Linked DNA regions of Arabidopsis thaliana. The protein of the gene in region 2 interacts with the protein of the main gene of each other region in a pairwise test. Each region holds a gene or a part of one and is shown on either strand. Other genes may lie near its edges.

What was found. Proteins that work in one complex are often made in the same cells at the same time.
Region 1: the proteins of EER5 (region 2) and SAC3B interact in a two-hybrid assay, tested with the Arabidopsis thaliana proteins (one study listed by BioGRID).

What each region holds. Positions count from the first base shown.
Region 1 is NC_003074.8:1,904,247-1,909,098, forward strand, and holds the start of SAC3B (SAC3/GANP/Nin1/mts3/eIF-3 p25 family), read right to left. Parts: upstream 3,052-4,852; coding exon 2,963-3,051; intron 2,668-2,962; coding exon 2,533-2,667; intron 2,381-2,532; coding exon 2,288-2,380; intron 2,117-2,287; coding exon 2,024-2,116; intron 1,805-2,023; coding exon 1,712-1,804; intron 1,452-1,711; exon of another isoform or gene 1,410-1,451; coding exon 1,245-1,409; intron 945-1,244; coding exon 822-944; intron 577-821; coding exon 364-576; intron 1-363. Other genes in the region: P4H2 (P4H), read left to right, coding at 3,498-3,634, 3,730-3,787, 3,895-3,999, 4,459-4,516, 4,666-4,841. UniProt on the Arabidopsis thaliana protein: Component of the TREX-2 complex (transcription and export complex 2), a muliprotein complex that functions in docking export-competent ribonucleoprotein particles (mRNPs) to the nuclear entrance of the nuclear pore complex (nuclear basket).
Region 2 is NC_003071.7:8,465,160-8,470,773, reverse strand, and holds EER5 (proteasome family protein), read left to right. Parts: upstream 1-1,628; 5' UTR 1,629-1,704; coding exon 1,705-1,872; intron 1,873-2,476; coding exon 2,477-2,613; intron 2,614-2,702; exon of another isoform or gene 2,703-2,723; coding exon of another isoform or gene 2,724-2,731; coding exon 2,732-2,825; intron 2,826-2,931; coding exon 2,932-3,021; intron 3,022-3,120; coding exon 3,121-3,186; intron 3,187-3,273; coding exon 3,274-3,363; intron 3,364-3,452; coding exon 3,453-3,509; intron 3,510-3,609; coding exon 3,610-3,671; intron 3,672-3,753; coding exon 3,754-3,841; intron 3,842-3,954; coding exon 3,955-4,031; intron 4,032-4,366; coding exon 4,367-4,441; intron 4,442-4,513; coding exon 4,514-4,619; intron 4,620-4,718; coding exon 4,719-4,850; 3' UTR 4,851-5,084; downstream 5,085-5,614. Other genes in the region: CDA1 (cytidine deaminase 1), read left to right, coding at 1-176; AT2G19550 (alpha/beta-Hydrolases superfamily protein), read left to right, coding at 5,243-5,614. UniProt on the Arabidopsis thaliana protein: Involved in the regulation of ethylene response. Probable TREX-2 component required for nuclear RNA export.

The sequences.
Region 1 (4,852 bases), on a different chromosome or scaffold from region 2:
CTATCACAGAAACAGCATGCTTAACTAGGAGGAAGCTCAAAGGCACATCAAACCAGATAGAGAAAAGTAGATTTGTTGCAATAGCATTAAGATAAAGCTGCAGGAGAAGTAAGCATGACTTCAAAGGCTAGTAGCAGAAAAATTTCCAAGCAACCATCTAAGTTTAAGGTGAATACGCTCATAAGCCGATTTGCTAAAGATAAAGTTTCTTAAGCCGATTTGCTAACGATAAAGTTTCTTAGGATTGTAACTCTATTCTATAATCGTGATTTCTCCTGCCATTCATACGTACACGTATGGCACAGAGTGGGTGAATAAAACATAATAAGCTTTAGAATGTACGATGAGATTCATGCTGTCTACCTTTGAGAGTCATGTTGAGACAATATGGGGTCATCTCCAAGGGGTTTATCAGAAGGTGCTACAGCCGAAGACTTTCTTCTAGTAGCTTCCTGAATTTCAGCTACTTCATGTGCATAGGGGAATGACGAGTTTCCGGTTTGTTCTTGATGAATCAACTGATTGGGATTGCTCCTCGACCTCACCGGATTATTCTCCGCAGAAGACGGAGAGCGCCTACACAAACATGAGAAAAGGTTCCAGGAAATAAGTTTCAAAAGTTAGTGAGAGGATAGAACAATAAATTAGTATAAAGATCAAGGAGCAAAGACACAGGTATGGTTCAAATCATTATCCACAAAGAGTAAAGACACCACAAAATGAAATATTTTATGACCTTTTTAAAACCAATCAAAACCAACAGCGAAAAGAGAATGAGAAACGAAAACATTATGACACTGACAAGAGGATAAAAAGCTCACATCCAAGTTCGGCTAGAAAGTGGCTGAAAACCATCTACCAAGTTTCCATTCTCAAAACCTGATACTGGCGATTGATTTCTTCGAGAAAACCCCATATTCTGGTCAGGAAGAATATCTGACCGACTGCAACAAAAATTGAGAATTTTATAGACCGATATTAGTTACATCAAAAAAACCAGGATATCAGTAAACACCATGGCCATGTCTATGACATCTCATTCATACCACCTAGGCCACACAACAAACTGATAAAATCTGAAAGAGTAAGATACATGATGCAGAACAAGGAAGGTGTAAACTCCCACAAGGACAGATGTTAAAAGGTTAAGGATAAGATAGGGATACAAAACAGACAGAATGTTTATTTCAGAAAGATCCTGCTGGCATAAATGACCTTGATCTAAAGGAAATGGCATAAACGACCTTTTTCTTTTTGAATCTTGTGATCGACCAATCTCAACAGCATCAGTTCCCATTCTGGAAAGAATGTGAGATGTAGCAGGTGGAGACGTGGCTCGACTATGTTCACCATGATCTTTCAAGAAATTCCTTGATCCATCGTGCCCATATTGAGGATTTAAATTAGGCCTGTGAGGAAAAATGAAGCAGGTAAATTCAGCTAAGTCGTTAAGAAAAATCCAGCAGCTTGCTTATTAAAGGCTATAAGCCAAATCCAGCGATAATGATCTCTTTAGAGCTTCAAAGCCGCTGCCATAGTAAGCCCTTATGTATTAGGCAGAGAAACTTATAGCACTCCGCCACACTCTACTTTCTTCCTACTGCTATAATTTCAATTGCAGAAACTGAAAGCATTTGAGATGTGTGATTAACACAGCCGCATATGAGTAATGACACTCTTCTTAGTCAAAATATGTCACGTACACTTTTACCTCTGAACTCCAGGAAATTGGTAAGGTCTCACAGAGGGGCTTGTACGTGAAGCTTCTGGACCCCATGCTATTCCATTGAAAGGTTCTGGGATCCTGAAAAACATAGCATCAAAGTGTTCTTATAACTTTCTCGGCGTAAAAATTAGTGCAACATATAGAAGATTCAAGCAGAAGTTTTACAAAAAGAATCAAAGCCAAAGAAAACAGAAAATTTGGTTTATCCCATCTTCACTGTTTTGGGTTCCCGAAGATCCTTTACAGGTATAAGGAGTGAAAAAAAAAAAAGAGAGCCATAATAGTAAGTTATCTGACCTTTGAATTCCACCAGGTTGGTAAGGTTGTCCTGAGGAGGGTGATGGATTTTGAAAAGCCGACGGAGATGGTATTCTATTAATTGGAGGAACACTGCAAGCAAAAACCATAATAACTTAGGCTAGAATCTAAAGAAGAAGAAAACCCGAGAGTAGACTGAAAAATTAATAATTGAATAAGTAACCAACCTAACATCATCATTAGACACATAGAACTGAAAGAGAAAAGGAATAAAAGCAAGCCATACGATTAAGAATGTCTAACCTTTGAACCCCACCTGGTCGGTAAGGTTTCCCTATAGAGAGCTGAGGGTTTTGAGAAGCCGACAGAGGTGGTGCTCGCTGAATTGAAGGACCACTACAAGCCAAAGTTACGAAAGAAAACTGAGCGAATTTACGAAAGAAAACTACAACAAGTAGCACAATAGGCTCTTCCTATGGAGGCTCAGAAACAACCTAACATACTCGCATAGAAAGAAATCAAAGCTGTAGAGCTAAGGTTAATCTAACCTTCGAATTCCACCAGGTCCAAAAGATTGTCCTGCAAAGGCTGAATGGTTTTGAGACGCCGGTGGTTGAATTGATGAATCACTACAAGCAAATCCAACATTCGCAGTGTGTAAGAATAAAAAAGAAAGGTACAATCTAAGAACAAAAAGCAAAGTAAAGCAACTCGCAGCTTCTCCTAAGGAAGATGAAGAAGCAAAACCCGACTGCCTAAGTGATATAGAACACAATATCATAGAAAATTCAAGATACTTCTCTCATTCTCATGATCCTAAACACTTTAATACAACGATAGCATATATGTAAATTTGACAGTTCAAAAAAATCTCTGAGTATAATAGATCCATAGCGTGAAATGAATCCTAAAAATCTCAAAACTCGAAGAAAAGTCCGATTGAAGCATAGATACATCTATAGAGAATGAAGAGCACACCTAGTGGTTGAAGAAGCACCGAACGGTGTAAACGGCGCTGGCTTAGAGCTCATCGGACCTAAGTCCTTCCCGAAAGGCCTAAACGCCATTCTCTGAGAAAATTCCTTGACTTGATTATCGCTGCCTCTCTTCTAATTCTCCTTCAACCTTCGTTTAATTACGTCGCCGGCTAAAGTCGAAACCGGAGCAAATTGAATTTTCTGTTCTGGTGACGCCTCTTCCGTCCGGCGAGGATTATTTTACGTTTAAAACCAACGACGTCGTTTTTATTTCCGAATTTTATGTTGGGCCTTTTAAGTAACAATAGGCTTATTATGGGCTTTGGTCAAGGAACAAGAATAATTGTTCAACCAAGAAGAACGTGCGCATGTTGTCACCATCTCCCTTGAGCCTCCTTGTTTTAGGTAGAACATCAACTTTTCATGACCGTTGACATTTTTTTTCCCTCTTTATTTTCCGAGAAAAAATAAATAAAATTATCCTCTAGTTTTCGATCTCGATCATCTGGATCCAAGAAATTACTACGATTGCTATAATGTCGATGTCTCGGCTCGGATTGTTGTTGTTCGTCGCTATATTGCTCGTCTTGCTTCAGTCTTCCACTTGTCTGATTAGTTCTCCAAGTTCTATCATCAATCCTTCTAAAGTCAAACAGGTTTCGTCGAAGCCCAGGTTTGATTTTACTCTTTCTCTTGTCTATTTAGTGAGAAATGAAGCAAATTTGGAAACTTTGAACCTCCAACTGTGTGTATTGACTGTTTCTTCAGGGCATTTGTGTATGAAGGTTTTTTGACGGACTTGGAATGTGATCATCTAATCTCTCTTGTGAGTGCGAATTTTGCTCTTTGGGTTTGAGCTCAAATTTGGAAACTTTTTGGCTTAAATGTGCTAGTTTCAGTATCTAATTTTGGTTTTTTTTTTTTTGGGGAAAGGCGAAAGAGAATCTGCAGAGATCTGCGGTTGCTGATAACGATAATGGCGAGAGTCAAGTCAGTGATGTTCGTACCAGCTCCGGCACTTTTATCTCCAAAGGAAAGGTGCAATTTTAATTCGGCACATCAGATCTCATTGAATGGCTTGATTGGAATTGATCTTGATTCTAATTTATGACACTCGACCTCAAGAACTCTGAATCTCTGATGTGATTTCTGATACTAATGGATCTGATAAGTCAAACCCCTCAAGATCTGATGGAAATAGAAATTTTAGAATAATTCAATCCAAAAGTTCACACACATATTGAACTGGTCATCAGAGTTTGATAAAATGATGTTGATAAGTCGAGATCTTAGTAAATTGACCCCAAATTGTGTTGATTTGTGATTGTTGTTTACTACTAAAAAGGTTTTAGGGTGATAGCTAGACATAAATTTACTTCTGTGTATGGATGAAGGATGATGAATGATACTTAGTGATTATTAGGAACAGATTTGAGAAATTTAGATATCTCAGTGTGATTACAATCTTAATGTGAAGCTTCGTTTGTTTAATGACAGGATCCTATTGTTTCCGGTATCGAGGACAAGCTCTCAACATGGACATTTCTCCCAAAAGGTAACTTTAACAATCTGAATGGTTTTTCAATAGTGGTCTCTCTGTTTCACAATGTCAATTGACAAGGAACCTTAACTGTTGTTGAGTTTCTTGAAAGGGTTTTTCAGAAGATATTATTGTTTCCTAAGTTCTTCACTTTGTGGTCACAGAAAACGGGGAAGACCTTCAGGTATTGAGATATGAGCACGGTCAGAAATATGATGCTCACTTTGACTACTTCCACGACAAAGTCAACATTGCCCGTGGTGGACACCGCATAGCAACGGTTCTCTTGTATCTGTCCAATGTCACAAAGGGTGGAGAAACTGTTTTCCCCGATGCACAGGTTTGTTGTTT
Region 2 (5,614 bases):
CGGCGTTGGTTGATTATGTGGCTAATGGTGGTGGAGGAGGATACGAGAGGATCGTCGGAGCGGTTCTGGTGGAGAAAGAAGATGCGGTGGTGAGGCAAGAGCACACGGCGAGGTTGTTATTAGAGACTATATCGCCGAAATGCGAATTCAAAGTGTTTCATTGCTATGAAGCTTAGAGAATCATTTAATTATCCGAAAAATAAAGGAATTTTAAAAAAAAAGGAATAAAAAGAAAATGAGACTTTTTAATTCTTAAAAGTGTTGAAATTGACGGAAAAAAAAAAAGTGTTGAAATTGATGTGATGGATAACACATAGAGAATAAGAAAAGTTTATATTTTTAAATTTGTTAAAAATGTTTATTGTATTAAAAAATTAAATTTAATACAATTATTATGTTTATGGAGTATTGTTAAAAAAAAAATTGTTGATATTAAATTTTTCCATTTTTTGATATTTTTTTTTAATATCCCCTTTGAAAATTTAATTTCGTCTATAAGGGATGGATTATGTGGATTAGATCAAATCGGCCAAATTTTATAAAATTGACAAGGTTTTCAAAAGTCTCAAATCGAATCAATGATTTTTTTTTTTACATGTCAAGTTATGATGTTTCTTTTATGTACGCAAAAAGGCAAAAATAAATGAACGTAATGATGGCTTTACACATTGAATTTGTTGGAATAAAGGTTCCAAATACGAAGTATGAGAAAGTAGAGAATATAAGATGGTCCACATGCAACTCTTACTATGAGTGGTGAACAATGAATCTAAAGATTTTTAGATTAGTTTCAAATGGAATGCTTTTTAAATAAAATGATATATAAGAGCATATTTTAGTAGGAACCTTCATACCAAAAATAAAGTAGGAACCTTAAAAACCTCTCAAGTTTCTCGTTATCTTCAACTTTTAGCATTACACATAAATACTAATCCTGGATTGACTTCTCTCAACTCAAAATTTCTATTAATTGTGTGTTCAAGAATAAAATATATTGATAATTATATGATTAGCGTGATTTTTATTTATTTATTTATCATGTACATGTAGTAGAGGCCTTTGCTAACTATGAAAGAAGGGGAATATCAATGGGAATATATAGAAGTGTGAAAGTATAAATCACATTTGGAAACAAGTGATTTATTTGATCAGTTAATTACTTTTGACAAGTTGATTATATTCATTTCTTCGAGTTTTTGGCAACTTGTTGAGTTATATGCATGGTATAAATTGATTTCATGTCCCTTCAAGAAAGTTCCTCACGTCACCATCGGGCTAAGAAGACATATTTACATACAGATGTCAACATTACGGACGATTACATGAACTTAAAAAACCTTAAAGCAAATTAATCATGATCTATAAAACGATTATATGAACTTAAAAACTCTAAAAAAAATTCATGATCAGTACCACCGATTACAGGAACTTTAAAATCCTTCCAACACTAATGATATTTTCAAATCCTTTACAAATAAATTTTCAAACATTTTAATGATTGTATTTCATATGGGCCTTAAATGGCCCAACTAACATATGTCAATAAGTCTAATACCAGAAAAGACTAGTACGTAGTAACAATTTAGTTAATTACCAAACGCCGTCGTTTTTCTCAACTCCGTTATTTCCTTTTTTTTCCTGGCGACTTATTTGATTTCGTGTCTCTCTCAAAGAATAAGGAAGACGCAGACGAAGAAGGTGACAATGGCGTACGTTAGTATGGGTGAAGCTCACCGGAGAATCACTGAATACCTAAACCGATTCTGCGACGCCGTTTCGTACCAAGACTCTTCTACACTTTGCCGTCTCCTCTCTTTCTCTTCCAATTCTCCACCTCTTCTCTCACTCGCCGACGCACTCAACGTCTTCCAGGTACATATATTCTCTGTTAAATCGAGACCCATGATTCAAATTAGCAGCTTGGAGTATGTTCCTGTGATTAGTGGCATGATCCTTGTAAATTGGTAAAGTTAGGTTCGATTTCAAATCCAGGATGCTTCTGATATGTTCCGATTGGGTTCTCGTATGAATTGTGAACACTAGGAGCATGGTTTTTATGTTAGCAAAGTTTGTAACTTTTAGGTTAAATCGATTCAATGTAAGATCCTTAAGAGTATGATTTTCTAATTGGGTCCTCCTACTTCACCAATGAGTATGAATTTCTGAATTTAGGGCTCAAAACACTAGGAACATTATCTTTATGTTAGCAAAGTGTGTATCTTTTAGGTTCAATCAATGTCAATCTAGGATCCTCCTACTTCACTAATGAGTATGATTTTCCAATTGGGTCCTCCTGCTTCACCAATGAGTATGAATTTAGGCCGTGAAAGTGTCTCCTATTGAGTTGTTGTAGTGAACACTCTATGTCTATGTTTGAGTTTATGAGTATGGATTTTAGATTTAGGGTTTTTATTTATATGTAGAGAGCTGTGAAAGTGCTGAATCCTTTGAGTTTTCTTTTCTTTGACTGATACAGGATTCTAGCAGTTTGATTAGACAGTCTGATAGATTCTCTGAATATGGCGAGATTCTGGCTCATGTGTTTCGTTCTCTACAAAGTTACCGAGTTGGGAATCTAGTCGAAGCATACCTTGCTTTCGATAAGTTTGCCAAGTAAAGTCTTCTTGTTCCTCTCTGCTCCTCTATTGATGTCTAATATGATTTCAGGGTGATAAGCTTTTTTTTTTGTCTGTTCACAATGTCTGATATCTGATGGATTCTATATGTGCAGTGCATTTGTTCAGGAGTTTCGTAATTGGGAATCTGCTTGGGCATTGGAAGCTCTGTATGTAGTTTGTTATGAAATTCGAGTTCTTGCGGAAAAGGTAGTATCTCATTTGTATATCCCTTTTTCAAAATCTTAACCTTGTCTGGTTTCATTGTGTCGAGGAGTCAGTTCTGAAAGCATGATTTTTCCACATGGAATTGCAGGCTGATAAAGATTTAACTTCTAATGGAAAGTCTCCAGAGAAATTAAAAGCAGCTGGGTCTCTTCTCATGAAAGTTTTTGGAGTTCTTGCTGTAAGTTTTCCCTTTGATCTATCTATATATCTTCAGGAATATTAGTTTATATTTGTGTTCAATATTTTTTCCGGCTCCTTATGTAGTTTTAAACTATAGGGGAAAGGTCCAAAACGAGTCGGAGCATTATATGTGACTTGCCAATTGTTCAAGACCTACTTTAAGGTGATATGCTTTCTGGCAACAGTTTGATATTTATGATTTAACCATTAAATGGAGTACTAAACAGGTATCCCCAATTTTGTATTTTAGCTTGGAACCGTCAATCTTTGTCGAAGTGTAATAAGAAGTATCGAAACTGCTCGGATATTTGACTTTGAGGAGTTTCCAAGAAGAGATAAGGTCTGGCGCAGTTCTCTGCAAACAGTTTTAGTTTTTGGCCTCCTTATTCGGTTACTTATTATCTTCTGTTTATTCTTCGCAAACACCAGGTTACATACATGTATTATACCGGCCGATTAGAAGTCTTCAACGAAAATTTTCCTGCTGTGAGTCACTAAGAGATTTTTTCTTACCATCACAGTTCATTTCGTAGTGTCAATCCAAATATTGATAGTAACATTTAATCTCTTTTTTTGGATCTTGCAGGCTGATACAAAGCTATCATATGCCTTGCAAAATTGCAACCCCAAAAGAGAACGAAATATAAGGTCTGATTCTGGTTTTACTCTGTGATTACCTTACTCTTGCATTGCGTTGCTTAATCAGCTAATGTGGCCTTATGTGAATCAGGATGATATTAAAGTATTTGGTACCGGTGAAGCTTTCTTTAGGAATTATACCAAAAGATGAGCTCCTGCGAAATTATAATCTGCATGAGGTAACGACTTTTCTGTTGTTCTATAAAATTTTCTTCGAATCTATGTCAAAACTTATTTCGCATCTGCTGAGTGATATCATATCTCTCTTAATCCTATTTCTCTACGTGTCCAGTACACAAAGATTGTGCAAGCTCTGAGAAAGGGTGATCTAAGGCTTCTCCGGCATGCTCTTCAAGAACATGAAGATCGGTATGTATTTCTTTCGATATCTTGCTTTTCTCATCTAATCCAAATGATAGAGTCCTTGTGGATACTCTAGAGCATGAGTATTGGAATTAGTATAGGCTGCTTGTAGTGGATTATATAGCTCTGCTGACAGGTCAGTAACACCTGGTTCTTAGGTAGAGAGCTAACAGGTTAAAAGAAAATTGGGGCAGAAAGAGTTGGGATGTTCTGGATTTGTCTAGGGGTTAGGATTTGCAGTTGGGTCGAGAGTAGAGTTGTGCAAGTCTCTATATGATGAGTATTTTGATTCTATCACCGAACAACTTAATATCTCGATCTAATACTCTTCTTTTATACAGGTTCTTGAGGTCGGGTGTGTATCTTGTCTTGGAAAAGCTAGAGCTCCAAGTCTACCAGAGACTCATGAAGAAAATGTAAGCAAAGACAAGCTATGATACCATCCAAGATTCTTGAGTTTATAACTCTTATTATTATCAATGTTTCAGTTATATAAACCAGAAGCTGAGTGATCCAGCGAGAGCTCACCAGCTGAAGCTTGAAGGGATTGCCAAAGCACTAAGATGGCTAGATATGGACATGGATCTGGACGAGGTTTGTTCTACAATACCATCCCATTCATTGCTTTTGACTTCTTCTAAAATTGAAATCTTCTATAAACTCACAGTTGTCAAAATAATACTGTATTTGCAGGTGGAATGTATAATGACGATATTGATATACAAAAACCTTGTGAAAGGTTATTTAGCTCACAAGAGCAAAGTGGTAGTTCTAAGCAAGCAAGATCCTTTCCCTAAACTAAACGGGAAGCCTGTTAGCTCATAAGTCTTCACGTGTTATTTTTTTTGTTGTATCAACAAACACTTTTTATTTTCTAATTGTGTGTAAAATTCATTCAAACAAAAAACAAAAACTGTTTTTACAATAGAAATGTGACTTTAAAACTGTGGAGTTTTCACCATGGTTGAGGAGTCTACTTACGAGTAAGGTCCAAATTTCCACTGAATATCGACATGAGAAGAATAAGTGATTACGAGTTTTAGTTTAGCAAAAAAAAGAAAAAGTGATTACGAGTCTCATTCGTATCTCCACAGAAAAATGCAATTTGATCTTTGGCGAGAGTTCCAGTTCCATACTTCCATTACCTTATTCTTTTTACATCAATAGGGGGCCTCATTGTTTTCTTCTCTACGATTACCACCTGAAGCAAAAAGACGATGAAGCCAACGAAGATCGTGATTCCGAACCGCCGCAACGAGAAGCTCGTGGGTCTGCTTCACGAAACTGGATCAAAAGAAGTTGTGGTCTTATGCCATGGCTTTAGATCGGACAAGACCAACAAGATTCTCAAAAACGTGGCTACAGCTTTGGAGAAAGAAAAAATCAGCTCTTTTCGTTTCGATTTCTCTGGTAACGGAGATAGTGAAGGAACTTTCTATTATGGTAACTTCAACAGTGAAGCAGAGGATGATCTGCATTACGTTATTCAACACTTGTCCTCCTCTAACATCATGAACCGTCTAGTTCCTGTCATTCTTGGTCATAGTAAAGGTGGTGATGTCGTTCTTCTCTATGCTTCCAAGTTTCCC